Linked DNA regions of Anolis sagrei. The protein of the gene in region 2 binds, or shares a complex with, the protein of the main gene of each other region. Links are inferred from orthologs where the notes say so. Each region holds a gene or a part of one and is shown on either strand. Other genes may lie near its edges. The genes, in order: BRF2 and BDP1.

Region 1 (15,878 bases), on a different chromosome or scaffold from region 2:
GTATATTCAACCTGAATCTATAATATATTACAATGTATTAATATAATATAATGTATATACATGTAATATTTATAATATTATAATGTAAGGCAATATACTACTACTAATATATTATAATTATATATTTATATTACATGTAATATTATTAATAATATTACAATATAATGGTATAGTAGTTGAAGTACTTTGGCCACATCATGAGGAGAGAGCAAAGCCTAGAGAAGACAATTATGCTGGGAAGTAAAAGGAAGAGGGGCTGACCAAGGGCAAGATGGATGGATGGCATCCTTGAAATGACTGGACTGACCTTGAAGGAGCTGGGGGTGGTGACGGCCGACAGGGAGCTCTGGCGTGGGCTGGTCCATGAGGTCACGAAGAGTCGGAGACGACTGAATGAATGAACAACAAAATAATGGTATAGTACAATATAGTAATATTTAATACTTATATTGCACTATGCTAATAATATAATATATTGTATGTATATATAAGGAGTCCCCAGTGGCGCAGTGGGTTAAAGCACTGAGCTGCTGAGCTTGTTGATCGATAGGTCGCAGGTTCGATTCCGGGGAGCGGCGTGAGCTTCCGCTGTCAGCCCTAGCTTCTGCCAACCTAGCAGTTCGAAAACATGCAAATGTGAGTAGATCAATAGGTACCACTCCGGTGGGAAGGTAACGGCGCTCCATGCAGTCATGCTGGCCACATGACCTTGGAGGTGTCTACGGACAACGCTGGCTCTTCGACTTAGAAATGGAGATGAGCACCATACCCCAGAGTCAGACATGACTGGACTTAGTGTCAGGGGACTACCTTTACCTATGTATCTATACCTTGTAAGCTGCTCTGAATCCCCTTCGGGGTGAGAAGGGCAAAATATAAATGTCGTAAATAAATAATAAACATCACAAAAAAGAAGAACAATTCTCCGAGTTTCAACTAATTTCATTCAGAACCAATAATATCTACATGTGAAATGTAACGAACAAGTCAGGAAGACTTGTGTTTATCTCCAGCCTTTCTTCACAATTATATTATAGAGGACGAAGAAGAAAAGCTGGGGGCCAAAAGAAAGGCTTTATTAACTGGGATATGAAGTTCTTTTGTTTCATACATACCCTTTTTGATGTGGGTGCAAGAGCCCCTAAAATAAAAGGAAATAGCTCTAGGATGAACCAACGCCGACTGCTGGTTGTACATTCCCAGAATCATTTGTGTCTATTTAAGGATCCCTGAGCCTCCCTAAATGCCTCCTTTTCTTCTGACGTTCGGATGTATTGTTCTATCTCGCTATCCGAAATGGCCTCATCCCCGGTGATAGCATAGTCTTCAGGGCGCAGATCGGGAGTCCTCAACTTCTTCTTGGGATTCAGCATGCAAGGTGGGAGCAAAGGTGCCCGCTTATTGCCCCCTTTCTGCCCCTCTCCTGGAAGGGAAATCTCTTCTGTCATTACAGAACTTTCTTTTATAAGCTGCTGTGGTGTCCCTGGTTCTGAGCCCTCTATATTACAGCCATCAGTGCTATCCATTCTGGAAAAGGCAGACTGCAAAAGCACACGGCGATGCTGCAGCAGGTCACCAACATACTTTGCCACAGTCCTCTGATCCACCTTGAGCACTCGCAGCCAGGCCAAATGAGAAGCCATCTGGAGAAGGATGTTATGCAGCTCCTTCAGCCTCTGGTGAGCTGGCCGGGGCGCATCTGTGCCTGCAAGTTTGCAGAACTTAGAAAGAGTGCAACTGAGGCGATCAACGGGTCGCAGAGACTGCCATGCCAGGAAGGCTGCTGCCATCACAATGGGGATGGGATGCCGGCCAGTCACCAGCCATGTTTCACTGGCAAGCTCCACCATCTGAATAGTCCTCTCCACCAGCTGCTCTTTGTCTTCAACAAATTTGGGTGGGATGCCTGATGACTGCTGAAAAAGCTTGAAACTGGAAAGGAAGGAAAGCAAGCATGCTATTTACAAGGATTACTCTGTCTAGACATATGATGGGAGGTGCTGAGAGCAAAAGTGATTGAGCAAATATGGCCATGTTTGTAGTATGCAAAGGCAAGCTGGTACATGGGTAGCAGAGGAAAGCACTTGACATAACGATGTTGTGTGCCTTCATTCCTGACTTTCAGCAGTCACATAATGGGCATTTCATGGCCAGATTTGTTCAGAGGGGATTGCCATTCTCTGAGAACAGCCGAGTATAACTGGCTACGGCCACCCTATCAGTTACTATGGTCAATCAGCAGTCTAGGCTGATCTGGTCAGGGTGGTCCATGCCTTAGTCACCTCTAGGTTGGATTACTGTAATGTGCTCTACGTGGGGCTGCCCTTGAAAACGGCTCGGAAATTCCAACTGGTTCAACGGGCGGTGGCCAGGATGTTAACTGGCGCCCCTTACAGAGAGAGGTCAACCCTCCTGTTTAAGGAGCTCCATTGGCTGCCGTTTACCCACCGAGCCCAATTCAAGGTGCAGGTGCTTACCTACAAAGCCCTAAACGGTTTGGGACCTGCCTGCCTGCGTGACCACATCTCCGTATACAAAGCCACGCGCTCCCTCCGTTCATCCGGAGAGGCCCTGCTCACGATTCCACCTGCGTCACAGGCACGTTTGGTGGGGACGAGGGACAGGGCCTTCTCTGTGGTTGCCCCCGACTTTGGAACACCCTCCCCAAAGACATTAGACTAGCACCTATGTTGCAGTCTTTAGGAAGAACTTGAAGACCTGGCTATTCCGATGTGCCTTTCCTGAATAGTATAACCTCCAGCACTACGTCCCAGAAGCACTTTATTAGAGCTTAAGACTCTCTGCACATTGCACTTGCCCAGAATCCTAACATAATAAATAAAATGCCATACACAACTCCTCTCCACTTGATCTCAATAAGTACCTGGTGTGGAAGGATAGCCTGAAAAAGTGATGGGCCCAAGCTCAACCATTGTGTCCAACCTTCAAACTTCTAGATCACAATGTCGGATTTTCCAAGAGCTTTTTGTATTTGAAGCAGCTAACATCTCTATTGTTTTAAAGCAGATGAAATATCTATCCAAGAGTTTCCCACATAATTTAGAATTCAAACTGTACCTTCTCTACCATGTTAGAAGGCCCAATGCCCCTGTCAAATGCAATCAAACAGATAGCCACCAGTCTTTACAAAAAAGTATATATGTATATACAATGGGCAGCAGGCAGGTTATTAACTGGAATGACTTACAGGGAGCGGTCAACCCCCCTGTTTAAGGAGCTCCATTGGCTGCTGTTCATTTTCCGGTCCCAATTCAAGGTGCAGGTTCTTACCTACAAAGCCCTGAATGGTTTGGGACCCACCTACTGCGTGACCGCATTTCTGTGTACGAACCTATGCGATCTCTTGGGTGGAGAGGCCCTGCTCTCACTCCCTTCGCAGGTGCGATTGGTGGGGACGAGAGAGAGGGCCTTCTCTGTGGTGGCCCCCCGACTCTGGATCTCACTCCCCAAGGATATCAGACAAGCCCCCACATTGGCAGTCTTTAGGAGGAGCCTGAAAACGTGGCTGTTCCAGTGTGCCTTCCCTGAATAAGGAAACAATGCCCTGCTCTGATTAATTCTCTGCACTTTACTACCCATTGGGTTGCTCTCCCTACATTATCTTTTAAAACTCTCCTGCTCAGATACATCCTACCTCTGTTCACACCCAGTGTTTATTTAAAAAAAATTAATTTAACACATCTGGCCTGGCCATAAGGTTTTAAATTCTCTGTGTTATTTTTTATATGTAAGTTATATTAATTGTACTGTTTTATTTGCTTGCTGCTTTGTTGTTTATTGATGTGTTGGTGGGCTTGGCCTCATGTAAGCCACCCTGAGTCCTCTTGGGGAGATGGTGGTGGGGTATAAATAAAGTTTTATTATTATTATATTATTACACACACAGAGAGAGTCTTTCTTCCATGATGGAAGCAATGCACACTACGTGTTCATTTCAAAAAAACATTCCCAACTTTGAGACATATATCAGGAAAAGGGAAGAGGGATAATAACGTACCTGTTGAGGTGTGTCTTCACTAAATCTATCAAGCTCAGAGAAGGAACATCCAATGACATTTCCTTCAAAAACTGCAAGTATACCCCAGCAAACAATTCTTTATCAGCATAGAGTAGCAAGCAGACTGTGCCCATAGTCAGGGGCCAGTTGTGTTGCCGGCAGGTGACAAAGACACAGCAGCCCACAATCATCTCCTTCTTCTCCAAGCTGACCAATCTGAAGCAGGGACGCTTGATGGCCTGTTGGTAATAACTCACTGCTGTTTCTTCAAACAGAGAAGGAAGATGGAGAACTTTGCAGAGATCCCGGACACGTTTGATTCCTGTAAGGGAGACACCGTATAATACACATTTGCATTTATTTTTCACATGCTGCTCAGAGTTTTCCAAGGATATAATAATAATAATAATAACAACAACAATAATAATACACAACATTATTTCTATGCCATCCTATCTCCCTGAGGGGACTCAGGGTGGATTAAAATTGGCAAATATTCAATGCCGGCATAACATAAAAAACAAATTAAATCATATAATATAAAATAAACAACATCAAGTGTACTTATAGAACAACTCAAAAATAACAAACTTAGAAAATTAAATATATAAATCAAACATTTAGAACATGTTTACTACTAGATCTAATAATAGAAACCAATCAAAACATTAAAAGTAAAAAGGCATTTACATGTCAACAGGGCTGAGGTGGTGTCCATGTCAGAGTGTTTAAGGTGCTGGCTGAATAAAATTATTATATTGCACAATTCCACAAGTTAAAAAGGACCTACTACTTACTATGTACCTTCAAATCAACTCACTTATGATAACATCAAATACAGGATGTTCTTATCAGAAGAGATTTGTCAGTGTCTTCTTCTGAGACTGAAACAGTATGACTTGTCCATGGCTGAGCAGAGAGTTGAAACCTAATCTGGAGTTTTGGTTCAACATTCAAATTACTGTATTGTGCTACTCTGACACCACAATGGCTCTCTTGCTAATGCATTAAGGTAATCTAATAAGGTTTTTCTTCCGTTGCCCCCCCCCCTTTCTCCAAATGTGGGTCTCCCTGGCTGAGTAGGGATTTGAACCCTGGTTTCCAAGAGTCCAAGTTTAAAACTCCTGCCACTACACCATACTGGCGCTGACATTCATTTTTGGAATACACCAAAAGGTACTGATGGAAGATGCAAAATACTTGCCTCTCTGCAGACAATGGCCCAACTGCTCGCTCTCACCAGTACTGCGTGAGTATGTCACTTCTGAAAAGAAAGAAAAATTACCACATCAGATACACAGATATAGTGTAGATATACTTATTCAGAGCAAATTGGAACCATGGTATCAACCTAACCATCCATAGTTTGGATATCCCCCAAATGTCAGATGCAGAGACTCAATGGTGTGAAATTCATTTCTCAAACTACTATTTTGTTTTTCTTTCTTCTTCCTTTCAAAAACTGAGTATTGAAATCACCCAGATGGCCACCTGTTGGGGGTGCTTTGAATGTGATTTTCCTGCTTCTTGGCAGAATGGGGTTGGACTGGGATGGTCCATGGAGTCTTCCAACTATAATTCTATGATATGTGGAGTTTTCTCCTTTCCCTCGTATTCTGGGCACAAAAAGGCTTCAGTATAAACCTCAGCTCATGCTGCCACAGCTGCTGTTCAGTTCAATTCTGATCACACAACTTTCTGCCACTCTGGGTCAGAGTGAAGAGAGACCAACAGAAAATACTGGAAGGGTTTGGTGGGCAGTGCCCTTTGGTTTTGGAGTTGTAGTTCGCCTACATCTAGAGATCACTGTGGACTCAAACAATGATGGATCTGGGCCAAACTCTACACGAATCCTCCATATGCCCAAATGTGAACACTGGTGGAGTTTGGGGAAAATAGAATCTTGACATTTGGAAGTTGTAGTTGCTGGGATTTATAGTTCACCTACAATCACAGAGCATTCTGAACCACACCAATGATAGAATTCTGAACCACACCAATGATAGAATTGGGCTAAACCTCCCACACAGAACCCCCATGTGGGCCACAGCAACGCGTGGCAGGGGACGGCTAGCATCTATATAAATGAAAAAAGGGGTGTTTGTTTGTGGGACTAACATAACTCGAAAACCACTGAACGAATTGACACCAAATTTGGATACAAGATCAGGCCAATGAGTGACCATCATTCATACAAACACTGAAAAACACCGCAGAAGCGATTTAAAAATCCAAAATACATTACAATGCATGTGCAAAACTATATATATATATATATATATATATATATATATGCAAACACACACATATACACACACACAAAACACATATACATAGATTGGGCCAGAGCAACGCGTGGCAGGGGAAACCACAACGTTGTGGCCACTCTCGGCCTGCCTCACCTTGGAGGTGCTGCTCCTCGGCGAAGGTGGTGGTGAGGAGCCCTTCGGTGAGAACGAAGCCACAGTCTGCGCACACCAGCTGGTTCTGGGCGTAGTGGGAGTCCTCCACGATGTCCAGGGAGCCGCAGTCTGGGCACTTTTTGGGGCCCGCCATCTTTGCAGCCTGGAAAAGGAGGCAGGGAACAGCCAGGAAACAGCACAAGCCTTTCCCAACCTGCCCCAGAGCAGGGCCGCGGACGGACTTTCCCTGCCAGCCTCAAAGAATCACCTTCCAACGTCTCCTACGCAGCCCCGTTGTTTTCCTTCTGAGACCGGAAGTCGTCGCGCGGGGGAACTGTTTCCACGTCGGACCCACTTTTTAAAAGCAAGCGCCATGACAACCGGGCACTCACTAAGCTGAGGAGCGAACGACTAGAAAATGCTTCCGGTAGGGAAACAAAGAGCGGACAAAGGTTCCGGATTGGACCTGTTTACTTTTAGCAATGTTTCTCAACCTGGGGGTCGAGACCCCTGGAGGGGTCACGAGGGGGTATCAGAGGGGTCGCCAAAGACCACGAGAAAACACAGTATTTTCTGTTGGTCATGGAGGTTCTGTGTGGGAAGTTTGGCCCAATTCAATCCTTGGTAGGGTTCGAATGCTCTTTGATTGTAGGTGAACTATAAATCCCAGCACCTACAACTCCCAAATGTCAAGGTCTATTTCCCCCAAACTTCACTGGTGTTTACATTTGGATATACTGAGAATTCGTGCCAAGTTTGGTCCAGATCCATCATTGTTTGAGTCTACAGTTCTCTCTGGATGTAGGTAAACTACAACTCCCAAAACTCAAGGTCAGTGCCCACCAAACCTTCCAGTATTTTCTGTTGGTCATGGGAATTCTGTGTGCCAAGTTTGATTCAGTTCCATTGTTGGTGGAGTTCAGAATGCTCTTTGATTGTAGGTGAACTATAAATCCCAGCAATTATAACTCTCCCAGGACAAAATCAATATCCTTCCCCAATATGTTACCATTCATAACAGCAGCAAAATGAGTTATGAAGTAGCAACGAAACTAATTTTATGGTTGGGGGTCACCATAACATGAGGAAGCGTATTAAGGGGGTCATGGCATTAGGAAGGTTGAGAAACACTGACTTATAGAATCATAGAATCCTCGAGTTGGAAGAGACCTCATGGGCCATCCAGTCCAACCCCCTGCCAAGAAGCAGGAATATTGCATTCAAATCACCCCTGACAGATGGCCATCCAGCCTCTGTTTAAAAGCCTCCAAAGAAGGAGCCTCCACCGCACTCCGGGGCAGAGAGTTCCACTGCTGAACAGGTCTCACAGTCAGGAAGTTTTCCTCATGTTATTTGTTTGTTTGTTGGTTTGTGAAATTTATATGCCACCCTTCTCACCCCGAAGGGAACTTAGAGCGACTTACAAAATATACATACATGCAATATATTATATTATTAGCATACTTACTTAGGCGATTCCTCGTAGTATGAGAATGATGGTCCTCCAAGTGTAGTGTACTGGCGGTGGGTACGTAGGTGACTATGGCACCCTATTCTTGACCTGCATCTTCTCCTGCACTGAGGACATCGGTTTCCAGGTGCAAGGCGGTCCCGGTTGGGGTTGGCTTGATGACCTCTTTCCACCTGGAAAGCAGTGCCCTCGCTATGGGAGAACATGCAGGTCAGGAATAGGGCTCCAGAGTCGCTTACGTATCCACCGCCAAGACACATCACTTGGAGGACCATCATCCTCGGACTATGAGGATCACCTAAGTAAGTTAGAATAATAGAAGCAGCCAGGCTTTGAAGCTGCAAGGCCATTCATTGCTAATCAAGGTAGCTGATTGCAACATTCACACTTGCCTCCAACGGATAAGAGTTCTTTCTCCCACCCTGGACCTTCCACAGCCAGTCTTTGAAGCTGCAAGGCCATTCAATACTAATCAGGGGGCCAGTTGCAACATTCACACTTGCCTCCAACTGAGAAGAGTTTTTTCTCCCACCCTGAACAATCCACAGATATATAAACCTCACTTGCTTAGCTTCCAACAGACTTCTCCATCTCTGAGGCTGCCTGCCATAGATGCAGGTGAAATGTCAGGAAAGCATGCTTCTGGGACACAGCCATACAGCCTGGAAAACTCACAGCAGCCCACACAGAATAACAGAGTTGGAAGAGACCAAATGGGCCATTTAGTCCAACCCCCTGCTATTCAGGAAAAACACAATCAAAGCAACCTGACAGATTACCATCCAGCTTCTGTTTGAAAGCTTCCAAGGAAGGAGCTTCCAGACTCCAAGGCAGAGAGTTCCACTGTTGAACATCTCTTCTTAAAGTCAGGAAGTTCTTCCTAATGTTCAGGCGGAATCTCCTTCCCTGTCATTTGAACCCATGGTTCATAGTTTCCAGGGTAGCAGAAAACAAGCCTGCTCCCTCTTCCTTGTGACATCATTTCATATATTATGCATGGTTATCATGTCTCTTTATATATAAATGTGCCGTTGCCCCTGGGGGCTATAGCTCTTAGTGGAAGAGGCATGGACGTGACATCTTTCCCCAGGGGATTGCTTCTTGCCCTCCTTTAGGAAACTGGAACTCCCAAAGACCAAAACACAACAGATAACTCAAAATGGTATTTATTGTTCACAGTGAGTTATCTTTCTCAGGCATAAGCTTGATGTTTCAACAGGGATAAAGGAAATATACTTTACAATCTATAAAGTCCAAGGAGTTTGCAGCTGAGAAGCTTTTCCTGTTTCCTCTTTTCTCAATGGCTGTGAATATCGGAATAAACACAACCCCAGTCCAATGGCCTAAGTTGAAGGGACAAGACCTTCCTCTGGTGCCAAAAGAACCGGTTTGAAGGCGCTTTGGTCTCCTCAATGTTGTCCAGGACGATCTGGACATAAAGCATGAGTCCCAAGGGTAAAAAACCTTAGAATTGGTGCTGAAAGGTAATTTAAGCAGAGGCTTTTAGAACCAAGTCTCTTACTCACGTCCATCTGATAGAAATTCTGATGGCAGAATGAAAAAAGGGAAGCACTCCCCTCCTCCAGGAAGAAGTGGAGCCAAACAATTGAGCTTGAGAAAGCAATTCAACTGGTGCAAACAACATTGATTGACAGCTATAAATAACCAATCAATTCAAGCAGGGTAAAAGGCAGGATTAAGCATGATACAACAGTTTAAATCTTGCAACTAGCAGTTCTACACATAGGTGGCGTCACAATAAAAGTGAAGAATTTCGTAGTCTAGTATGAAGTACAGTCAAGTACTATAAACTATATGGCTTTAGCGGCTGAGGAGGAAAAGGAAGGGGCCTGGGGATGTTAGGAATTGTGGGAGTTGAAGTGCAAAACACCTGGAGAGCTGAACTTTCCCCATGCCTGATTTATATAAACCTGTACACTGGACAAATGTATTAATTGGCTTAAACCTGATTTATGTTGCAGTGCATTGGGAGATCCTTGGAGTCAGCATCATTACAGTGTCCCAAAATGATACGTGTCTCAAAAAGTGTCACCAACTTGAAATGTCTGGAAAGCTCTTTGCTCAGCATTAGGCAAGTTACTCTCACAGTCTCTCAAAATAAGAGTGAAGCTTGTTTTCTGCTTCCTTGGAGACTAGGACGCGGAACAATGGCTTCAAACTACAAGAGAGGAGATTCCATCTGAACATGAGGAAGAACTTCCTGACTGTGAGAGCCGTTCAGCAGTGGAACTCTCTGCCCCGGAGTGTGGTGGAGGCTCCTTCTTTGGAAGCTTTTAAGCAGAGGCTGGATGGCCATTTGTCAGGGGTGATTTGAATGCAATATTCCTGCTTCTTGGCAGGGGGTTGGACTGGATGGCCCATGAGGTCTCTTCCAACTCTTTGATTCTATGATTCTATGATCATGATGTTGACTGTGGGCAAGTAAGGAAGCTTGCTTTTTATGTGCTGACTGCATATATTCTACTCAATATAACCAATGAGGACAAGGGTAAGGATAAATATTTCCAAGCCCTTTGGGGCGGCACAATGGGTTAAATCCTTGTGCTGCTGAACTGAAGGTCAGCAGTTCGAATCCGTAAGATGGGGTGAGTTCCCATCTGTCAGCTCCAGCTCCAGCCAACCTAGCAGTACAAAAACATGTAAATGTGAGTAGATAAATAGGTACTGCTTCGGCGGAAAAAGGCAAAGAGACTCTCCAAGCAATCTTGCTGGCCACACAACCAGGAGGTGACAATTGGCTTGAAAATGGAGAAAGCACCTCCACAGAGCCAGAGATGACCACCGTCTCCAGAAGCCGGAAATGAAAGGAGAAGCCTTTACCTTTCTTTATGTGTCTCACTGTATATGATTGTAAAGGCATTGAATGTATGTAAATGCTGTAATCCGCTCTGAGTCCTCTCGGGGAGGAGGACGGAATAGAAATAAAGTTTATTATTATTATTATTATCATTATCATCATCAACAACAACTATTTCATATCCTCATAATGCTGAAAATGTATATACCATAATAGTAATACAATGGATCTTGATAAGTCTGAATTTGGGAGCTGAATAGAGAATAGGACATCAAGAATAGGTGTGTTTTTCTTTCCCGTTTCAAAATAAGCTCCTATTCCTTATGACTTTGAAAATGAAGAAAAATTGCCAGTAACAACGATGGTATATTCACAGAAAGATCAAAGGACAGGCGCTGGAGATGGGAGTCTAAGGGTACGCTATGTTCCTCCAGCTTTGCTAATATGTTTACAATGTTTTCCTATTTTCTTTCTGTTTTACAAGAGTGTTCCAAGCAGCGATAGAGAAAGATGCAAGCAACATCTGGCTTTTATGTTTTTGGAAAGGAAAACAGCTATTGCTTCTTTGTCCCTTTGTTGCCATAGGAGATGTATTTATTTTGCACCATGCCGGATGACTCTAATTAAGCTTGCAGGACACTTTCTTGATTCCAGGTACAATTTGGATGAGGGGATGTTACTATATATTTTTTTCACACATATGTGAGAGGAAGCCACAGGGAGGGGGGGGGGGCAAGCTTGTTTACTGCTGTCCTGGAGACTAGGACGCAGAACAATGGCTTCAAACTACAAGAAAGGAGATTCCATCTGAACATTAGGAAGAACTTCCTGACTGAGAGCCGTTCAGCAGTGGAACTCTCTGCTCCTTCTTTGGAAGCTTTTAAACAGAGGCTGGATGGCTATCTGTCAGGGGTGATTTGAATGCAATATCCCTGCTTCTTGGCAGGGGGTTGGACTGGATGGCCCACGAGGTCTCCTCCAACTCTTTGATTCTATGATGATGATGATGATGATGATTATTATTATTATTATTATGTGTCAATCAAGTTTATTTCAGTGAGGATTTGGACCTCTTACCTTTACTAATGTTCAGATTCCATCTGAACATTAGGAAGAACTTCCTGACTGTGAGAGCTGTTCAGCAGTGGAACTCTCTGCCCCGGAGTGTGGTGGAGGCTCCTTCTTTGGAAGCTTTTAAACAGAGGCTGGATGGCTATCTGTCAGGGGTGATTTGAATGCAATATCCCTGCTTCTTGGCAGGGGGTTGGACTGGATGGCCCATGAGGTCTCTTCCAACTCTTTGATTCTATTATTCTTCCCTCCACCAACTTGCTGTTAATTTTGCTTGTTGTGTTTATTCTAGACCAAGCCTTTAGGAAGCTTCTGGTCCAATTCTTTCAGCTGTGGCTTTTATCCTACAATTCACCGGATTCATTCCACTGGGGGTGGGACGGTGTTAGTGAATGGCTCTCATCTCCTAGCGTTTATCATTACACTATTTTTGCCTTCTGATGGAAATGGAGCATGATATCATTACAATGCCTGCATGTGTCAGCCAAGCTTTGGTATTTGCAGAGCTATAAATACCATAATCTTGATGGGGAAAAAAGGGGTGGGGTAAAGAGGGTGCAGCATACACAGCAGGCTTATAATGCAGGTTGACATTTTTAACAATGCAAACAAACAGACAAAACACAGAATTTGCAAGCTTGGTAGTTGATTAAATGTCCTTTGACCAGTATCTGGCCACTTGGAGTGCCTCTGGTGTTGCCGCAAGAAGGTCCTCCCTTGTGCATGTGGCAGGGCTCAGGTTGCATTGCAGCAGGTGGTCTGTAGTTTGCTCTTCTCCACACTCGCATGTCGTGGATTCCACTTTGTGGCCCCATTTCTTAAGGTTGGCTCTGCATCTCGTGGTGCCAGAGTGCAGTCTGTTCAGCGCCTTCCAAGTTGTCCAGTTTTCTCTGTGCCCAGGGGGGAGTCTCTCATTTGGTATCAGGTTCTGGGTTTGAGCCTGCCACTTTTGGACTCTCGCTTGCTGGGGTGTTCCAGTGAGTGTCTCTGTAGATCTTAGAAAACTATTTCTTGATTTAAGTCGTGCTGGCTGATACCCAAACAAGGGATGGGTTGGAGATGTCACTGCCTTGGTCCTTTCACGATTGGCTGCTACTTCCCGGCGGATGTTAGGTGGTGTGATACCGGCTATACAGTGTAATTTCTCCAGTGGTGTTGGGCACAGACACCCCGTGATAATGCAGCATGTCTCATAAAGAGCAACATCCACTGTTTTAGCGTGGTGAGATGTGTTCCACACTAGGCATGCATACTCAGCAGCAGAGTAGCATAGCGCAAGGGCAGATGTCTTCACTGTGTCTGGTTGTGATCCCCAGGTTGTGCTAGTCAGCTTTCGTATGATATTATTTCTAGTGCCCACTTTTTGCTTGATATTCAGGCAGTGCTTCTTGTAGGTCGGGACATTACTTGTGGTAAGTAATTTTATATCTGTGTAAGTAATTTCATTCACTGTGTCTGGTTGTGATCCCCAGGTTGTGCATGAGGGATTAATAACAATAAGAGGATAATGGGATGGTGAATGGAAGAGTAAACACGGACAATTCCCACTACATTTCCCTGCAGCTCCCCTTTATATCTACTTAGTGAAGACACTTTGAATGCTGTAGATGTACCTAGAACAGTGGTTCTCAACCTTCCTAATGCCACGGCCCTTTAATATAGTTCCTCATGTTGTGGCGACCCCCCAACCATAAAATTATTTTCATTGCTACTTCATAACCCTTAATTTTGCAACTGTTAAGAACTGTAACGTAAATATCTGATATGCAAGGTGTATTTTCATTCACTGGTCCAAATTTGGCACAAATATCCCATATGCCTAAATTTAAAAATTGGTGGGGTTGGGGGGATTGATTTTGTCATTTGGGAGTTGTAGTTGCTGGGATTTATAATTCACCTACAATCAAAGAGCATTCTGAGCTGGAATTGAACACAGAACGCCCATGACCAACAGAAGTACTGGAAGGGTTTGGTGGGCATTGACCTTGAGTTTGGGAGTTGTAGTTCACCTACATCCAGAGAGCACTGTGGACTCAAACAATGATGGATCTGGACCAAACTTGGCACGGATACTCAATATGCTCAAATGTGAACACTGGTGGAGTTTGGGGGAAATAGACCTTGACATTTGAGAGTTATTATTGCAGGGATTTATAGTTCACCTACAATCAAAGAGGGGTTCCGAATCTCACCAAGGATAGAATTGACCCCCCTCGCGACACCCCCCCCTCCCGGGGTCCCGACCCCTAGGTTGAGGAACACTGGTTTAGATGGACATTTTTTTCTGACTTAATGGGGCTCTTCACATTTCACCCATTCTTTTTGACAGGAACATGTCAGGGAATATTTTCTCCAGCCTCCAATACGGAGTCTTTGATGAGCTAATATCTTTGAAAGTACTGTGAGTCATGACTCTATGGCAGTGTTTCTCAACCTTCCTAATGCCGCGACCCCTTATTCCAGTTCCTCATGTTGTGGTGACCCTCAGCCATAAAATTATCTTTGTTGCTATTTTACAACTGTAATTTTGCTACTGTTGTGAATTGTAATTGGAAGATTTTGGTGGGCATTGACCTTGTGTTTTGGAATTGTAGTTCACCTACATCCAGAGAGCACTGTGGTCTCAAACAATGATGGATCTGGACTAAATTTGGCACAAATACCCAATATACCCAAAGGTGAACACTGGTGGAGTTTGGGGGAAATAGACCTTGACATTTGGGAGTTGTAGTTGCCGGGATTTATAGTTCACCAGCAATCAAAGAAAATTCTGAACCCCACCAATGATAGAATTGGACCAAACTTCACACACAGCACCTACATGACCAACAGAAAATGCTGTGTCTTCTGGTGGTCTTTGGTGACCCCTCTGACACCCCCTCACAACTCCCAGGTTGAGAAACACTGGCCTAGAAACTCTTGATGTAACATAGAATTCACACAGCATTTGCTTAAAACTTTTAAAAGGGAACAGCTCTCTGATTTGCTATAAAAGGCTACTCATGTGCTTTAAGGGAGGGTTCGGCATTGGGCATGTCAACAGCTATTACATCAACCACATCATGAGCATCACACACTTAATTTCTAAGTCACTGTGGAGAGCAATCACAGCACATATGATGGATAACTAACTGGACAAATTCTGCACTGAAACATATTTTGTTTTAATTTTATTTAGTACTAGCCACCCCCTGCCACATGTTGCTGTGGCCCACATGGGGATTCTGTATGGGAGGTTTGGCCCAATTCCATCGTTGGTGGGGTTCAGAATGCTGTGATTGTAGGTGAACTATAAATCCCAGCAACTACGACTCCCAAATGTCAAGATTCTATTTCCCCCAAATTCCACCAGTGTTCACATTTGGGCATATTGAGTATTCTTGTAGCGTTTGGTCCAGATCCATCACTGTTTGAGTCCACAATGATGTTTGGATGTAGGTGAACTACAACTCCAAAACCAAAGGACACTGCCCACCAAACCCTTCCAGTATTTTCTGTTGGTCATGGGAGAACTGTGTGCAAAGTTTGGTTCAATTCCATCGTTGATGGGGTTCAGAATGTTCTTTGATTGTAGGTGAACTTTAAATTCCAGCAACTACAACTCCCAAATGACAAAATCATTTTTTTTAGTAAAGGACATACATTGGGTTGTTAGGTGTCTTGTGTCCAAATTTGGTGTCAATTCGTCCAGTGGTTTTTGAGTTCTGTTAATCCCACAAACTAACATTACATTTTTATTTATATAGATTTGAGACAAGCTCCGTATGAGAAAATGTTTTATCCAGTCTAATTTTCCCCCTAATTAATATATTGTTTATATTCATTTTTCTCTGTTTATAACAGGCAAAACATCAGTGTCATGAATGTTTCCAGTATTGGAATGTGAAGTGATTGGTCATTTGGATCCTACCTAAGTGAATTATCATCTGAAGTATTTATTATGTTATGAAAACGGAATGTATTACGTTGAATATTTCCCATGTGCTGTATTTCCATTTCAATCTCATTGGGACATATGAGTCACCGTTCCTTCCTGCTCTGCAGGTTTCTCACAATCATTTTCAAGCTGGTTTTGCTTGGCATGCTCAGTTATGCTTC
Region 2 (16,114 bases):
AACAAACTTACTAACTATAGCAAGACTGCTTATAACAAGGAATTGGAAAAAAGAAATGAATATACAAATAGAGGAGTGGTATAAAGAAGCATGGAAAATAGCAATAAATGATAAATTGACATGTATATTAAAGGTTAAAAAAGGTATATGGAAACAAAGCGATTTTGATGCTGTATGGGGAAGATTTGTGGTAAATGGATTAAAAAATAAGGAAGGAAAATTACCGTCACAAGAAGAAATGAAATTTTGGACAGATGAAATGTAAGAATGGTGGCTTGAGACGGGTGGAGGGGAGCACTGTGGTGAAAAAGGGGGGAAAAAAAAGAGAAAAGGGGTGGAAATGTCAGAGCAAAACAACAAAATAACATGTTAAAGAGGTTGATGTACAAAATGTAATAGTATGTAATAAATGTGATAAAACAATAAAAAATTATTTAAAAAAATAAATCAAACAATCATAGATACATTTAAAAATCAGTACCATAAATGAGCAGAGTCTGAAGTACTTCCACATATAAATCAAACCTTGATTATCCGAAGTTAGCTTCACTTCAGCAATAAGTTGAGGGAATAGCATATTTTGTCTCTCCTGTTGTTAAATTAGGAATACAAAATATTTGCCAATCCACTACAGATAACTGAAACATTTATCTGTGGTCACTTTTAGATTCAGATATACATACTGGTGGATATTTGATGTAAAAACGTTAAAGCTGTAGACTGACACAGCATTTGATGCTGCCAAATTTTTACCTTTATAAACTAAAAGCCTTCAGCAAAGTAGATTCTGTAATGCACCATTATATTACCATAAAAAGAAGCTATACCCTCTTACAGATCCACCATACCTCATTACAATAAAAAAGATACAATCCCTGCCATTTCCAGGTAAGATGTGGAAAATCTCCTGTCCGAAATCCTAATGAACTTTTTAAAGACAATATGACCTAAATGGGCCAAGGATCTAACTTAAGTCTGGCCATAAGCTCTTTCTGTTCCCTCCCACATTGTCCTTATAGCACTGTCACAAAAATATTATATACCTTTTCTTTCTTCAACTCTTCCTTGAGCATCTTTCGCAGCGTCTGACTTTTTATTATTTTCTCACGTTCTGAACACCTATTTTTATCTTTTTCTGGACCAGATTTTGAATGGACAGTTTCATCTTGAATTAATTTTTCCTGTGTGGGTCTCTCCTTGAGAGGCGAGAGTGCACTCTTCTGAAGTGCTTCATCACTTCTTTGGACAGATGGACAAGTATTTGGTTCTTTACTGGAAGATTTTTTTAAAGGAGAGAACTGTGGTACTTGAGGAACAGGTGTTTTCTTTTCAGGCAAAGTTGGAGACTTTGGTGAAATTTCCACATTAACCCTTTCAGAAGTCTCCTTATGAAGCACAGAGCTACCAAGAGTAGAAGAATGAGGTAATTGTTTTGTAGAATGTTTTGATGCCAGATTGACAGAACCTTGAGTAGATGTGGATGTAACTCTTGGTTTAGCAAGATTGGGCACAGTTGAAAATCGTTTTCTTCTCTGGAGAAGGGCCTCTGCACGTTTACTACAATCTCCATCTTGATTGGTTTTTTCATCTCTGCAAAATTCAAAAAGAATGACATCTGTTATGAGTATTTTTAAGAAAATTGTATAGCTGTTTTAAAAAGAAATGAATGAACTTATGAACTGAATCATGCAATATTAGATCTGCCTTTTAAAAAAAACATAACAATTTATCCAACAAATAAACTAACATTTTCCATTTGACTGAATATAGGACAATATCCGTTTCAGATGCTTACGTCCATACAGTTCACTGTTAACAATCTACCAATTAGTTATTGACTATATTGAATATACTGCTACAATACCCTTGGGAACAAAACATAATAAATACCAGCATATTCACTAAATTCGTATTTAGATCTTCTATGAAATGATTAGCAGGCAGGAAAAAAACTACGTTACTATGATGTGGTGATGCAACAGAAAAAACAAATCAAACTGGTGACTTCAGTAAAGGAACTGAATAATTAATAACTTTTTCACTGACTATACTTATCTGGAATTATTACATCAACTATGTATGAGATGGAAAAAGCAGAAGACAACAAGGGAAGCTACAAACAAATCAGACAAGATCCCGAATTGTCAAGATATATTATTAAAGTTAGGGTTGTCCACACCATCAGAGTTCCAATTTATATGTATGGTTGTAGAAACTGGAAAGTGAAGAAAGCTGATAGGAAGAAAATCAACTCATTTGAAATGTGATTCTGGAGAAGAGTTCCATGGATACTGTGGATTGCTAAAAATACTAAAAATGCTAAAAAAGATACGGTACCATGGACTACCAAAAAGACGAATAAATTAGTCCTAGAGCAAATAAAGCCTCAACACTCCCCAGAAGTCAAGATGACTGTTATACACTGAAAATATCATGAGAATATATGACTGACTAGAAAAGACAATCATGATTGGTAAGGTAGAAAGCGAGTCAGTGTGGTATAGTGGTTTGTGTCAGGCTAAAATATTAGAGACCGGGGTTTAAATCCTTGTTCAGCCATGAAAACCCAGTGATGACCTAGGCCAAGTCACCTTCTCTCAGTTGAAGGAAAAACATCTCTGAACGAATCTCATCTAGAAAAAGTCCATGATAGGGTCAATTTAGGAACACCATTAATCTGAAATGCCTTGAAACCATATTATAATGATAACATTAGAAGGAAAGGGAGAAGACCACATTACAGATGGATTTACCCAATCATGGCACCCACAGATCTAAATCTGTAAGAGCAGAGCAGGGCTATCTGAGATAGGATGATCTAGATATTTCTCATTAATAAGGATGTAATTAGTTGAAATTAGCTTGATAGCAATTAACAGCAACAATATAATATTGCGGACAAGGCGATTCAGTGTGTATGCACTTTCAGTGGCTGAAAAAACTGCAATCTGAAAATGGAAATCTAATAATCCAGATCTTGGCAAAATGTGACCCTACTGCATGTGTCAACACTACAAAGCATGCTAAATTATTTCAGTTAGCAGACGTACCTTTGTACGCAGTTTATGGTCAAATGCTTGCAATATATTCATACAACTAAACAGCACAGCACACGTTTATGACGTGTGTACTTTTAACACTATGTACAACTAGGACACAATAACCAAGGCATCATGATAGTTATCTTCAAATACATGAAAGGCTGTCACATGAAAGAAGCAACAAACGTCTTTTTTGCTGCATAGGAGAACATGACCCAAATGAATAAGCTGAAACGACAGTATAAGAAGGGAGACCAGCTAAGCATTAAGAGGACTCTCCTGATGGTTACAATCATCCAATAGCTGGCTGAAGACTATGTCAGCAGTTGCTCAACTGTCCTTCATTATAGGTTTTGTTTTAACAGAGATTAGACAGACACCTCTCAGCAATATTTTATTATGACTTTCTGCACCTGGAGGTTTTGGACTAGGTGATCCCTGGCATACCTTCCAACCCTCTATTTCTATGAGATATAATCTAGCATTCAAGGTTTTTGTATAACTGTGGTGGCATCAATAGTAGGTAAGTTTTGCCTTTTGTCTCATCTTATTCTACTATGTTGTAGAATGAATGCATCTTGACACCACTTTCGCTAGCATGGCTCCATGCCATGGAATCTTGGGAGGTGTAGTTTTACAAGGTCTTTAGCCTTCCCTGCCAAAGAGTGGAGGTGCCTCACCAAATGGCAATTCCCACAATTACATAGCATTCACTGATCCATTTCAATTAAAGTGTCAAACTGCATTGTTTCTATAGTGTCGATACACCCATAGACACACCCAGCAGGGCAATCATAAGGGTGGTTCAGCTATATAGGTAAAATCTGATGTATAACTGGATTATACCCATACCATCATCAGATCTAAGAGACCCACTAACAGTGTTTTCTTTCTTATTCTTTCTCCTTCTCATCACATCTAACCAAAGGAAGCACACTATTTCCATAAACATACAGGACAAAGCAAGATATTCAAAGCACAACTAAAGCTGAATATAACAATGTCAATTGTTTCATCTCCATCATCAACAACCAGAATCACTAGATCTTCAACCTTAACTATGAATATGGTTCAAAGCCATGCTGGTTAAATTGGGGACTGCAGAAAGTTAAAAAAAAAACAACAGCAAAAGGTATATAGTTGCTACTCACACACAAATACATCACTACTAACTAGATACACAAACCATTCCCTTCCAGGGAATAAGGAACTCCCACTCTCAATGCTTCTTTCACACATGCAGGGCTCCCACTACAGGGGATGCAGGTATGAATCATTCCCACAAGTTCAAATATAAATCCCAAACTTTTGTGCTCTGGGATTTTTCTGAAAGAACTAAACTTAAAATCATCAATGGCTTTGCGGGAAGACGAAATAGAAGTGCAAAAGAGTAGCTTTGTTCAAAGGTGAAACTTACCTATATAGCTGAACCACCCTTATGACTGCCCTGCTGGGTGTGTCTATGGGTGTATCGACACTATAGAAACAATGCAGTTTGACACTTTAACTGAAATGGACCAGTGAATGGATCAGCTATGTAATTGTGGGAGTTGTCATTTGGTGAGGCACCTCTACTCTTTGGCAAGGAAGGCTAAAGACCTTGAAAAACTACACCTCCCAAGATTCCATGGCATGGAGCCATGGTAGCAAACATGGTGTCAAGATGCATTCTTTCTACAATATGGTAGAATAAGATGAGACAAAGGGTAGTTACACCCAAAGGCAAAACTTATCTACTATTGATGCTACCACACTTATGACATCCCTGCCGGATGTCTCCCTAATGATTCTGTGGGAAGAAGGCTGAGGGTGCATCTACACCAGACCCGGGAAAACTTGGGCCCTCCAGGTGTTTTGGATTTCAATTCTCAATTGTGGGAGTTGAAGTCCAAAACATCTGGAGGGCCCAAGTTTGTCTGTGCCTGTGTTAAGCTGATGCTTCTCATGGACGTCTCTTTTTATTCAAAGTATCAAGCACATGGCAAGTCCCCGAGTCCTCCCGTTTTTGTTCTTTTCCTGTGAGCATGGAGAGAGACAAGATGTATCCACAGAGTTTGACAGCTGGGCTCTTAACTTTCCTATAGAGAAATGTTGTTACTTCAATAAAGTATTTTGTAACTTTTAAAGCTTGACCATGTTCCTGTATTGCTGAAGCTCATTCACTCTACTGCTCTGCACAAGAAGCTTCTGATCTGCTAAACTGCTGTTGCTGATTTACCATTTTTAATGCCTTTTCCTTTTGGAAATTACCCTGTGATATGTGGAGGAGTGGAAGAGTAGGGCCATGGTGGCACAACAGGTTAAAGTGCTGAGCTACTAAACTTGCCGACCGGAAGGTTGGTGGTTCGAATCTACGGGACGGAGTGAGCTCCTGCTGTTAGCCCCAACTTCTGCCAACCTAGCAGTTTGAAAAAATACAAATATGAGTAGATCAATAGGTACCGCCTCGGGGGGGGGGGGGGGGGGAGTAATGGCACTCCAGGCAGTCACGCCAGCCGAATGACCTAAGTGTCTACGGACAACGCCGACTCTTCGGCTTAGAAATGGAGATTAGAACCACCACACAGAGCCCAAGATGAGCACCACTCCTCAGAGCTGGAAGGGAAAGCCTTTACCTTTATATGTGTTTCGTTGTTTCTAGGCATTTGTGTGTGTGTGTCAGGCACGACTTGAGAAACTGACATTCGCTTCTGGTGTGAGAGAATTGGCCGTCTACAAGGATGTTGCCCAGGGGATGCCTGGATGTTTGGTGTTTTTTACCAGCCCTGTGGGAGGCTTCTCTCATGCCCCTGCATGCGGAGCTGGAGATGACAGACGGAGCTCAACCCACTCCCACTGGATTCAAACCACTGACCTGTCAGTCAGCAGTCCTGGGTTTAACCCACTGCGCCATTGGGGGCTCCTAGGCATTGAGTGTTTGCCTTTGTGTTTGTCTATGCTGGAATACGCCCTGAGTCCCTTCGGGGTGATAGGGTGGAATACAAAGAAGGTATTATTATTATATTATTGTATTATTACCAGAAAACATACTCTAAAACTGTGCTAAACTAACCCTCAAAGTGCTCTCAAAGTAATTGCCTACTGGCTCTGTACTTATTTCCTGCCTATAAGGCAGGCATGGGCAAACTTGGGCCCTCCAGGTGTTTTGGACTCCAACTCCCACAATTCCTAACAGCCTCAGGCCCCTTCCTTTCCCCCCTTAAGCGGCTGAGGGGGGAAAGGAAAGGGCCTGAGGCTGTTAGGAATTGTGGGAGTTGGAGTCCAAAACACCTGGAGGGCCCAAGTTTGCCCAATCCTGATCCAAAGGCAATATTTGCGGTGGTCATCTCCACTTGCCTGCTTCCACCTTTGTTCCCTCCCTGCTGGGCGCCTCCGGAAGTGTCTCCTGCGGCGGCTGTGGGGCCCTGTTCCCCGCCTGGCTCGGGGCCCACAGTTAGGGCAGGAACTGGGCCCCTGCCGCCTCTCCCTGTCGCCGCGGTGCTAGGCCTGACGTTGGGCTTCACGCTGAAGCGGGCCCGGCGGAACATGGCTCCTCACTGAGGCCTCTGGCTAAAGCCCGCCGTCGCCTTTCTCCTCCGGCCGGCGAGGCCTCCGCCTCATGTCCCCGGCCCGAGCCCTTCCTGCCTTCCTGCTTGCCTGCCGGGGCCTCGGAGGGCTGAGGGAAGGAGGCCTGTCAGCTGCCAGCCCGGAATGTCGCACCGCCTGCGTCATCAGCCTGCGACAGAATAGCCCTCCCTCTCCAGGAGAGCCCCTTGGAATGCAGGGAGTGCCTGGTGCTCTTCCAGGCAGGGGCAAACTTCGGCCCTCCAGGTGTTTTGGGCTTCAAGGGAAATCCTGGGAGCTGTAGTTTAGTGCCCCTTGCACACAGCTGAATAAAATCCCATATTTTCTGCTTTGAACTGGAATATATGGCCGTGCGACCTCAGATAACCCAGGGCCCTTCCACACAGCCATATGAACCAGAATATCAAGACAGAACATCCCACAATATCAGCTTTGAACTGGGCTATCTGAGTCCACACCGCCATATATTCCATTTCAAGGCAGATATTGTGGGATGTTCTGTTCTGATCCAGGGAAGTCATGCTACCCCTCTATTCTGCCTTGGTTAGACCACTCCTGGAATATTGTGTCCAATTCTGGGCACCACAATTGAAGAGAGATATTGATAAGCTGGAATGTGTCCAGAGGAGGCTGACTAAAATGATCAAGGGTCTGGAGAACAAGCCCTATGAGGAGTGGCTTAAAGAGCTGGGCATGTTTAGCCTGAAGAAGAGAAGGCTGAGAGGAGACATGATAGCCGTGTATAAATGTGTGAGAGGAAGTCATAGGGAGGAGGGAGCAAGCTTGTTTTCTGCTGCCCTGGAGACTAGGATGCAGAACAATGGCTACAAGAAAGGAGATTCCATCTGAACATTAGGAAAAACTTCCTCACTGTGAGAGCCGTTCAGCAATGGAACTCTCTGAGTGTGGTGGAGGCTCCTTCTTTGGAAGTTTTTAAACAGAGGCTGGATGGCCATCTGTCAGGGGTGTTTTGAATGCAATTTTCCTGCTTCTTGGCAGGGGGTTGGACTGGGTGGCCCATGAGGGCTCTTCCAACTCTGTGATTCTATGATATAGCTGTGTAGAAGGGTCCTGGGTTATCTGAGTCCACACAGCCATATATTCTAATTCAAAGCAGAAAATATGGGATTTTATATTCTGGGTTATATGGTTGTGTAGAAAGTCCCTTAGTCTTCAGTTTTCTCTGCCACATAAAGTTGTTGCCTCACCCATCTACACCTCTCAGAATTCCATAGCATTTGCTCTAGCATTCCATAGCCTTGCTAGTTAAAGTAGTATCAAACTGCATTCATTCTGCAGTGTAGATGCAGCCATTGGGATAATGGATTTAGAATGGCTTGTTTGTTTCTGTTTCTGTTGTTTTTGTAAGTTTTTTGGGCTGTGTGACCATGTTTCATAAGCATTCTCTCCTGACGTTTTGCCTGCATCTATGGCAGGCATCCTCGGAAGTTGTGAGGTGACCTACTATAGATGCAGGTGAAAGGTCAGGAGATAATGCTTCTGGAACACGTCCATACAGCCCAAAAAACTTAAAACAACCCAGTGATTCTGGCTATGAAAGCCTTCAACAATACATTATTATTATTATTATTATTATTATTATTCAAGAAAACAACATTTCAAATATAGTAACCAACAAAAAAACATATGCAAGGGAAATATATTTAAAATATCAGAAATCTACCTCATCCCTGTTGGTCGCTGTAAATTACCCTATATTCTTAATGCCTTTTAATCATCAGATTTTATCAAGTGTGTGTGAAGTGTCACATTATGTATATTTTAGTTTTTAATTTGGTTATTTTAGGGGATATTATAAATTTATGTTAATATTCTTTTTATTTATTGTTTTTGATCTGATTTGCTCTTTGTTTTTTGGCATTGAATGTTTGCCACCTTTGCTGGAAACCTCCCTTAGTCCCCTGAGGGAGATAGGGCAAGTTACAAGTAAAGTTATTGTTATTATTGTTATTATTATTGTTATTATTATTATTATTATTACAGTATCTGCATTGAGAAAGTACAGGGTTAGTCAAAATGCATAGGCCAATAAGCCATTCAATTGAATGGCTTATTGGCCTATGCATTTTGACTAACCCTGTACATCGTAGTACAGAGTTTTCTTAATGTATTAATAAGGTCAACAAGTAAAGTCAACAAAGATACAATCATTATATATAATAGCATAAAATAATGATAGATATAATAGTAAAATGCACCTAATTTAGTTTAAAACTTTCCCCATCTAAAGTATACTGCACTTAAAAATCTAATACAATTTTCCTAATAACTTGAATATGTTTAGCTCCCCTGCCCCCCATTCCTTTCCCTTTTCTTTGTGCCACCTTCACCAGGACAAATTTATCTTATTTTTTATCTCCGGAATTTCATTGTTTCTGTTGCAGGTTTGTCTCCTTGTCCTTCTATAAATACAAATTCTATAAACTTCTCCCAGATATTCCAAAAGTCTTGTTTGTTTCCACATTCCCTTTTTAACTTTAATGTCATAAGTCAGTCTGTTGTTAATTGCTATGTTCCAAACATTATTCCAATTGAATTTCATTTTTATCTTTCTATTTTGTTGTAATCATTAGTCTCGCTACCATGAATAGGTTGGAAATTAATTCCTTCATTTCTTGTAAGAATATAATATCATACAATGATAATAATGCTATTTCTGGTGTACCCTTTTCTCTATTTTTATTATTATTCTTATTTCCTTAAATACTATTTTCCAATTAGGTTCTTGTGGGTTTTTTCGGGCTATAGAGCCATGTTCTAGAGGCATTTCTCCTGACGTTTCGCCTGCATCTATGGCAAGCATCCTCAGAGGTAGAGGTCTATTTTCCAATTTTTTGTATAAATTGACATGTCCACCACATATGGATGTATGAGCCTAATACTTGATATCCTCTCCAGCATTGATTTGAATGTTTCTCCTCTGCCTTGTTTCAATAGGAATTGTGGAATGTGTTGCCTTTGAAATTAGAATTGTGACTTTAAAAAATGTTTTTATTTTAAGTTTTAGTAGTTACATCTTAATATTTTTAATTGTTTTTCAAAGGATGTATTCCACCTTGGTGACTTTTGCAAAAAGGTTGCATAATAACAATATCTAAAATTATTAACCCCTTCCTATCCTAAATAATGAGCCCTATTATCAGTCACCAAAACATGATTGCTGTTGTAATATTGTGACAGATATAACATTACATGTTTAACTGGTTTATCTGGTGGTAGGATGCTTATCTTATCAAGCAGCTCCCAGAATAGCATAACCAGTGTACTTATTAAACTCCAACCTCCAGAATTCATCCATACACATGTCTTGTACCTATCTGTGCTGGTGGAGGACTCTGGGAGTTATAGTACCAAGCAACTGAAATTTTCTGAGCTCTGAATATTCTCCCTCTCAGTTACATGTCTTCATTTAATTTTCCTTAGAACTCCCTATTGACAGTTCCACACTCACCTTTGTGTATTGTACAAAGCTAGAATTTGTGGCTTACTCCTAGTTTCTTATTTGTGAAAAAAATTGAAACACAGCTCAGTCATTCAACCGTTAGGACATAAGATGAACCCCCACACCACAAATTATGCTTTCAGCAACCCCATATTATATGTTGCCTTGATTCAGGGAGAGAGGATACAGTTTGAAGGGGAAAACAATTGTTTGTGCTCAATATATTCTTCTCTGAAAATGGGCATTAATGTGTGTTGGTCTGATTTGGCAATCACAAATAAGGAACTAGGCTTATTATCCCCAAACAAACTGTGAGCCATGTGTTCCCAAATGATACACCTTACATCCAAAGATAACATTTTCTATCATGCAAATCAAACCTTTCTGTATATGCAGGGCGCATATATATATATCCCAATCCAAAGCAGTAATACCAGGTTAGATAACAATGAATGAAGAACTGAGGATATACACTCCCAAAGTAAGTTATGTGCCCCCCTAAATTATAACCCTATTCAGAAGCAAATCTTTTAATATATGTGTAAAACTACTATGCATGCCAGCCTAGTGAAATAATACCTGCATTAGGTTAAAAATAATAAGAGATTCATACTTTGCATTGAATTAATGCAGTTTGACACCACTTTAACTGCCCAGTTTGATGCTATCGTCTTGTGGGAGTTGTAGTTTGGTGAAGCACCAGCGGTCTTTGGCATAAAAGGCTAAAGACCTTGTTAAACTATAACTTCGAATAAGTTATAGTTAAACAAGGTCTTTAGCCTTTTATGCCAACACTGAGCTACTGTAACACTGAGCTACTGCAGTTAAAGTCGTGTCAAACCATTAATTCTACAGTGTAGATGCACCCTTAGTTTCTCCCTCCTCCTACATTCCTATTCTTCTTACCTACTCACTCATCCATCTTCCTCCTTTTTCACCTAGCCAATTTAATTATACAATTAAAATTGTACAAAATGGTTGCAAAGAAGAGAGGACTTGTTAGACATCTGATCATTAAAACTACAAATGCGACAGATTACCGCTGGGATTCTTGGCTCCTATATGCAAAGCCTGCATTCTTCCACTGACCTTCTCAGCCCACACATCTTGACTGGGACAATGGTAGTGAAAAATTATTCATCTGTGCTGGGAAATATTTTCAGAGACAATTTCTGAATATGACTTTCTGAAAAGTCATCTACAAAAATCTCCAATGTTGATTCACTAGACAATTTTGTAGCTATACGCTTTTTGCTGTACATACAGTGAATCGATGCCCTGTAACTGAAATAAATCACACTGTATTAACCTCTGACAAACAAGTCACATTAAGAAATGAGGTGTTCACTTAATGAGAGTAAAAAGCAAAAAAGAAGTGTCATTAAGTGATAATTGGAATTAAAGAGGTTGTAAAATGAGATCCCATGGCTTTGGACAACTTGAATGCATTATGTAACTATACACCAGGCATGGGCAAACTTTGGCCCTCCAGGTGTTTTGGACTTCAACTCCCACATTCAGGTTGGGGCCCTAAATTCCCACCATTCCCAGACAATAATACTGTTACGGTCCTTGTAGTCCACGTGGGGAAAATTTCCAGAGTTAAAGACAACTTTAAAAAGACAAAAAAGGTCTTTGAAGAAGCATCATAAGGAACTAGAATGAATGCAATCCCCAAATGACAGCCTCCAGGCCTTCTCTGTAAATTGGACAAGGCCCAACATTAATTCTTTAACTGACAAATTAGGTAACAATAATTTACCAAATGAAAACAATTAAAACGTTAGTGTTTGTACTACTGAATTAACTTTTCCATTAACAAATGAATGGTCAACCCTCACCCTACATGTAAATAAAGCTTTGGATGGAATAAAATGAGGTTGCTTCTAGTTCCTAGATAATCCCTGCTTGGCTTTAAGGCTGGATTCGTTCGGAGTAGCTCACAGATTACACTGGTTCCTTATTATTTTTTCCTACTTAATTGCTGTTGTTGGCTTGACACATCTGGCAGTTTTCTCCAAGTACATCAAGCTTTCATCCGCATGTGGGTTGATGGCACCTCATAGAAGATTCTCTCCTGGATATAAATTTGTATGATTTGAGGTAGCCCATGGATAATTTTAGGGTGCACTTCTTCAATACATATATGTAACTGAAAGAATTAAGAATGTTATTTGTTAAGTACAACTTGGTTGCATCTAAATTGTGGAACAGTTTGACATGACGTTTAGCTGTTGTGCCCACCCACAACGATACATTGAAGAGTAGAGACATCACACTAGCAATGAAGATCCGCATAGTTAAAGCAATGGTATTCCCCATAGTCACCTACGGATGTGAGAGCTGGACGATAGGGAAGGCTAAGCAAAGGAAGATAGATGCGTTTAAACTGTGGTGCTGGAGGAAAGTCCTGAGAGTGCCTTGGACAGCGAGATGATCCAACCAGTCCATGCTTCAGGAAATAAAGCCCGACTGCTCATTGGAGGGAAGGATAGTAGAGGCCAAGAAGAAGTACTTTGGCCACATCATGAGAAGAAAGAAAAGCTTAGAGAAGACAATGATGCTGGAGAAAATGGAAGGAAAAAGGAAGAGGGGCTGACCAAGTGCAAGATGGATGGATGGGATCCTTGAAGTGACTGGCTTGACCTTGAAGGAGCTGGGGGTGGTGACGGCCGACAAGGAGTTCTGGTGTCTGCTGGTCCATAAGATCACGAAGTATCGGAAGCAACTGAACAAATGAACAACAACAACATATTAGACACATAAGGTTTTCATATGATGTAACATTCGTTACCATAAAAAAAAAAGAACACAAAGCCAAAGACTTATCAGCAGGCCCTTCGTATTTGTTTAGTTCAACTGCATAATGCGTTTTCAAGCTTTCAAGGCTCAGACTATTACATATTTGCTTTCCATGTTTATTTTTGGCCAAGCCTTTATTTATTTATCGCAAGAACCATGTTTGTTTAAATGCTAAGATTTCCGAAATAATTCCACCATGTTTGCGGAAAGTCCATAAGGAGCTTAATCCGAGGGCCCCCGTGGTGTAGTGGATTAAAGCACTGAGCTGCTGAACTTGTTGACCGAAAGGTGACAGGTTTGAATCCGGGGAGCGGCATGAGCTCCCACTGTTAGCCCCAGCTTCTGCCAACCTAGCAGTTCGAAAACATGCAAATGTGAGTAGATCAATAGGTACCGCTGCGATGGGAAGGTAACGGCGCTCCATGCAGTTATCCTGGCCACATGACTTTGGAGGTGTCTATGGACAATGCCGGCTCTTCGGCTTAGAAATGAGGATGAGCACCACACCCCAGAGTCAGACACGGCTGGACTTAATGTCAGGGGAAAACCTTTACCTTTACCTATCTACACTAAGAGCGCCCAGTGGCGCAGTGGGTTAAACCCCTGTGCTAGCAGGACTGAAGACCGACAGGTCACAGGTTCGAATCCGGGGAGAGGCAGATGAGCTCCCTCTATTAGCTCCAGCTCCTTATGCGGGGACATAAGAGAAGCCTCCCACAAGGATGATAAAACATCAAAATCATCTGGGCGTCCCCTGGGCAACGTCCTTGCAGACGGCCAATTCTCTTACACCAGAAGCGACTTGCAGTTTCTCAGGTCGCTCCTGACACGATTAAAAAAAACCTATCTACACTGTAGAATTAATGCCTCGGAAAGTGGGAGTTTGAGGAAGAGGCCGCGGATACAATGGCTGCCCTTTCTGTGGGTGTATCTACACCAGGCCTGGGCAAACTGGGCCCTCCAGGTGCTTTGGACTTCAACTCCCACAATTCCTAACAGCCTCAGGTCCCTTCCTTGGATATTTGTAACATGGGTTTGTTGAGCCACCAACACTATTTGGCAGAGAAGGCTTAAGACCCTCCAGCACTTGAGATGCCTTGGCAGTTAAAAAGTGCTGTCAAAATGTATCAATTTTGCAGCGTAGACTAGAGGCTTTGTTTCCTCTGCTCTGTGTTGCCACATAGACAGTCAGATATAGACACGCTGAAAGGGGAGGAGGGAAGGGCGAAAGGAAAACAGAGCAAGTGCGCACGCGCAGAACAGAACCCCGACCAAATACAGCCTGTCAAGAAAAGCGTGGCTCTGGGCAAAAAAAGTGACGTCGTGTGCGGGGTGACGTCACAAAGGCGGACCCTTATATAAAGGCGGCGCGCGGCGGGCGGGGCACGCAGAAGATTCTGGCAGTTGGAGCGGTTAGTGGGAAGTCGGAGCTCTCGCGTGACGGTTGTCGTCGCTGGGGTTATTGTTTTGCCATGGCCCGTAAGTAGAGGCCTTTCCCCTCTTTCTCCCTCTCCCGCTACGTCAGCGCTCGCGAGGGTTTTGTCAGTATCCTTTCGGCTCTGGACTCCTCCTTTAGCAATGGTGGTGGTAGTAGTCGAGGCCTAGTGCCTGGCGGTGGCTCTTGGCCAGAGGGAGGCGCCGCTGGGCCGGACTCTCGCCTCGGAAAGTGGGAGTTTGAGGGAGAGGCCGCGGATACAATGGCAGCCCTTTCTGTGGGTGTATCTGCACCAGGCCTGGGCAAACTGGGCCCTCCAGGTGCTTTGGACTTCCAACTCCCACCATTCCTAACAGTCTCAGTCCCTTGCTTTTCCCCTTCAGCCGCTTATGTGGGCAAACTGGGCCCTCTAGGTGTTTTGGACTTCAACTCCCATTCCTAACAGCCTCAGGTCCCATCCTTTTCCCCTTCAGGCCTGTTGTAAACACTAAAATAGAATTAAACCCAGGACTCTTAAAAATCAATAGTTTAAAGGCTTTAAAAATCTATTTTATTTATTTATTTATTTATTTACCTTACTTATTTAAAATACATAAAACACCACCTCACTTGATTTTTAAAATATAAAGGCTTGCAGAATTGATTTTGTTAATTTCAGTCAAAGCGGTGCCAAACGTCATTAGTTATACAGTGTGGATTCCCTACTATTATTATTTGAAACACAAGATGAGTCCACAGCAGGCACTCTGCTGGCTGTTGAATTGGATCCCACGTAGGACACTTCCCAGGTGTCTAGGAATGTGTGATGTATCGGCGAATAATGTGTGCAGATCCCAGTAAGGTGGCCTTCTGCAGCTGGCAGCTGGTAATTTTGTCAGCGCTGATTGTGTTTAAGTGCAGGCCAGGGTCTTTAGGCATTGCACCCAGTGTACCAATCACCACTGGACCACCTTTACTGGTTTAAAAGGCTTTAAAAATCTATTTAAAATCCATAAAGCACACGTCACTTGATTTTTTAAACATCATTCTTTAAAAGGCTTCCTGAATTGATTTTGTTAATTTCAGTCAAAGTGGTGCCAAACATCATTAGTTATACAGTGTGGATTCCCTATTATTATTTGAAACACCAGATGAGTCCACAGCAGGCACTCTGCTGGCTGTCGAATTGGATCACACGTCGACACATCCCAAGTGTCTAGGACTGTGTGATGTATCCGCGAATAATGCATACAGATCCCAGTAAGGTGGCCTTCTACGGCTGGCAGCTGGTAATTTTGTCAGCGCTGATTGTGTTTAAGTGCAGGCCAAGGTCTTTAGACACTGCACCCAGTGTACCAATCACCACTGGGATTGTCTTTGCCGGTTTAAAAGGCTTTAAAAATCTATTTAAAATCCATAAAGCACACGTCACTTGCTTTTTAAAACATCATTCTTTAAAAGGCTTCCTGAATTGATTTTGTTAATTCCAGTCAAAGCGGTGCCAAACTTCATTAGTTATATGGTGTTGATGCCCTATTATTATTTCCAGTATTTCTACCCCGTCTCTTCTCAATCCCCGAGGGGGGACTCAGGACAGCTTACAATATTCACCGATACAATGCCGATACATGACAATCATCATAATACAATCGCAATTGAACATAAGTCATAATTAAATCAGTACATAAGCAAAAATTAAAACAGTAAAAATAGTCTCATTAGCTGTGTCGCCATTCCAGCCAATGTCCATCTAAAGTGCTACTTACTTCTGCTGACCAAAAGCCTGGTCCCAAAAGCACAATTTTAATTTCTTCCTAAAAGCCAGGAGGG

Evidence for each region.
Region 1: BDP1 (region 2) and BRF2 share a complex: the UniProt entries of both Homo sapiens proteins name them as parts of the TFIIIB complex. The link is inferred for Anolis sagrei from reciprocal best matches to the Homo sapiens genes BDP1 and BRF2.

The regions. Positions count from the first base shown.
Region 1 is NC_090027.1:11,046,466-11,062,343, reverse strand, and holds BRF2 (transcription factor IIIB 50 kDa subunit), read right to left. Parts: upstream 6,787-15,878; 5' UTR 6,575-6,786; coding exon 6,421-6,574; intron 5,283-6,420; coding exon 5,223-5,282; intron 4,341-5,222; coding exon 4,019-4,340; intron 1,933-4,018; coding exon 1,206-1,932; 3' UTR 1,063-1,205; downstream 1-1,062. UniProt on the Homo sapiens protein: General activator of RNA polymerase III transcription. Factor exclusively required for RNA polymerase III transcription of genes with promoter elements upstream of the initiation sites.
Region 2 is NC_090022.1:261,795,754-261,811,867, reverse strand, and holds the start of BDP1 (transcription factor TFIIIB component B'' homolog), read right to left. Parts: upstream 6,746-16,114; 5' UTR 6,569-6,745; coding exon 6,378-6,568; intron 1,591-6,377; coding exon 1,044-1,590; intron 1-1,043. Other genes in the region: SERF1B (small EDRK-rich factor 1), read left to right, coding at 14,343-14,349. UniProt on the Homo sapiens protein: General activator of RNA polymerase III transcription. Requires for transcription from all three types of polymerase III promoters. Requires for transcription of genes with internal promoter elements and with promoter elements upstream of the initiation site.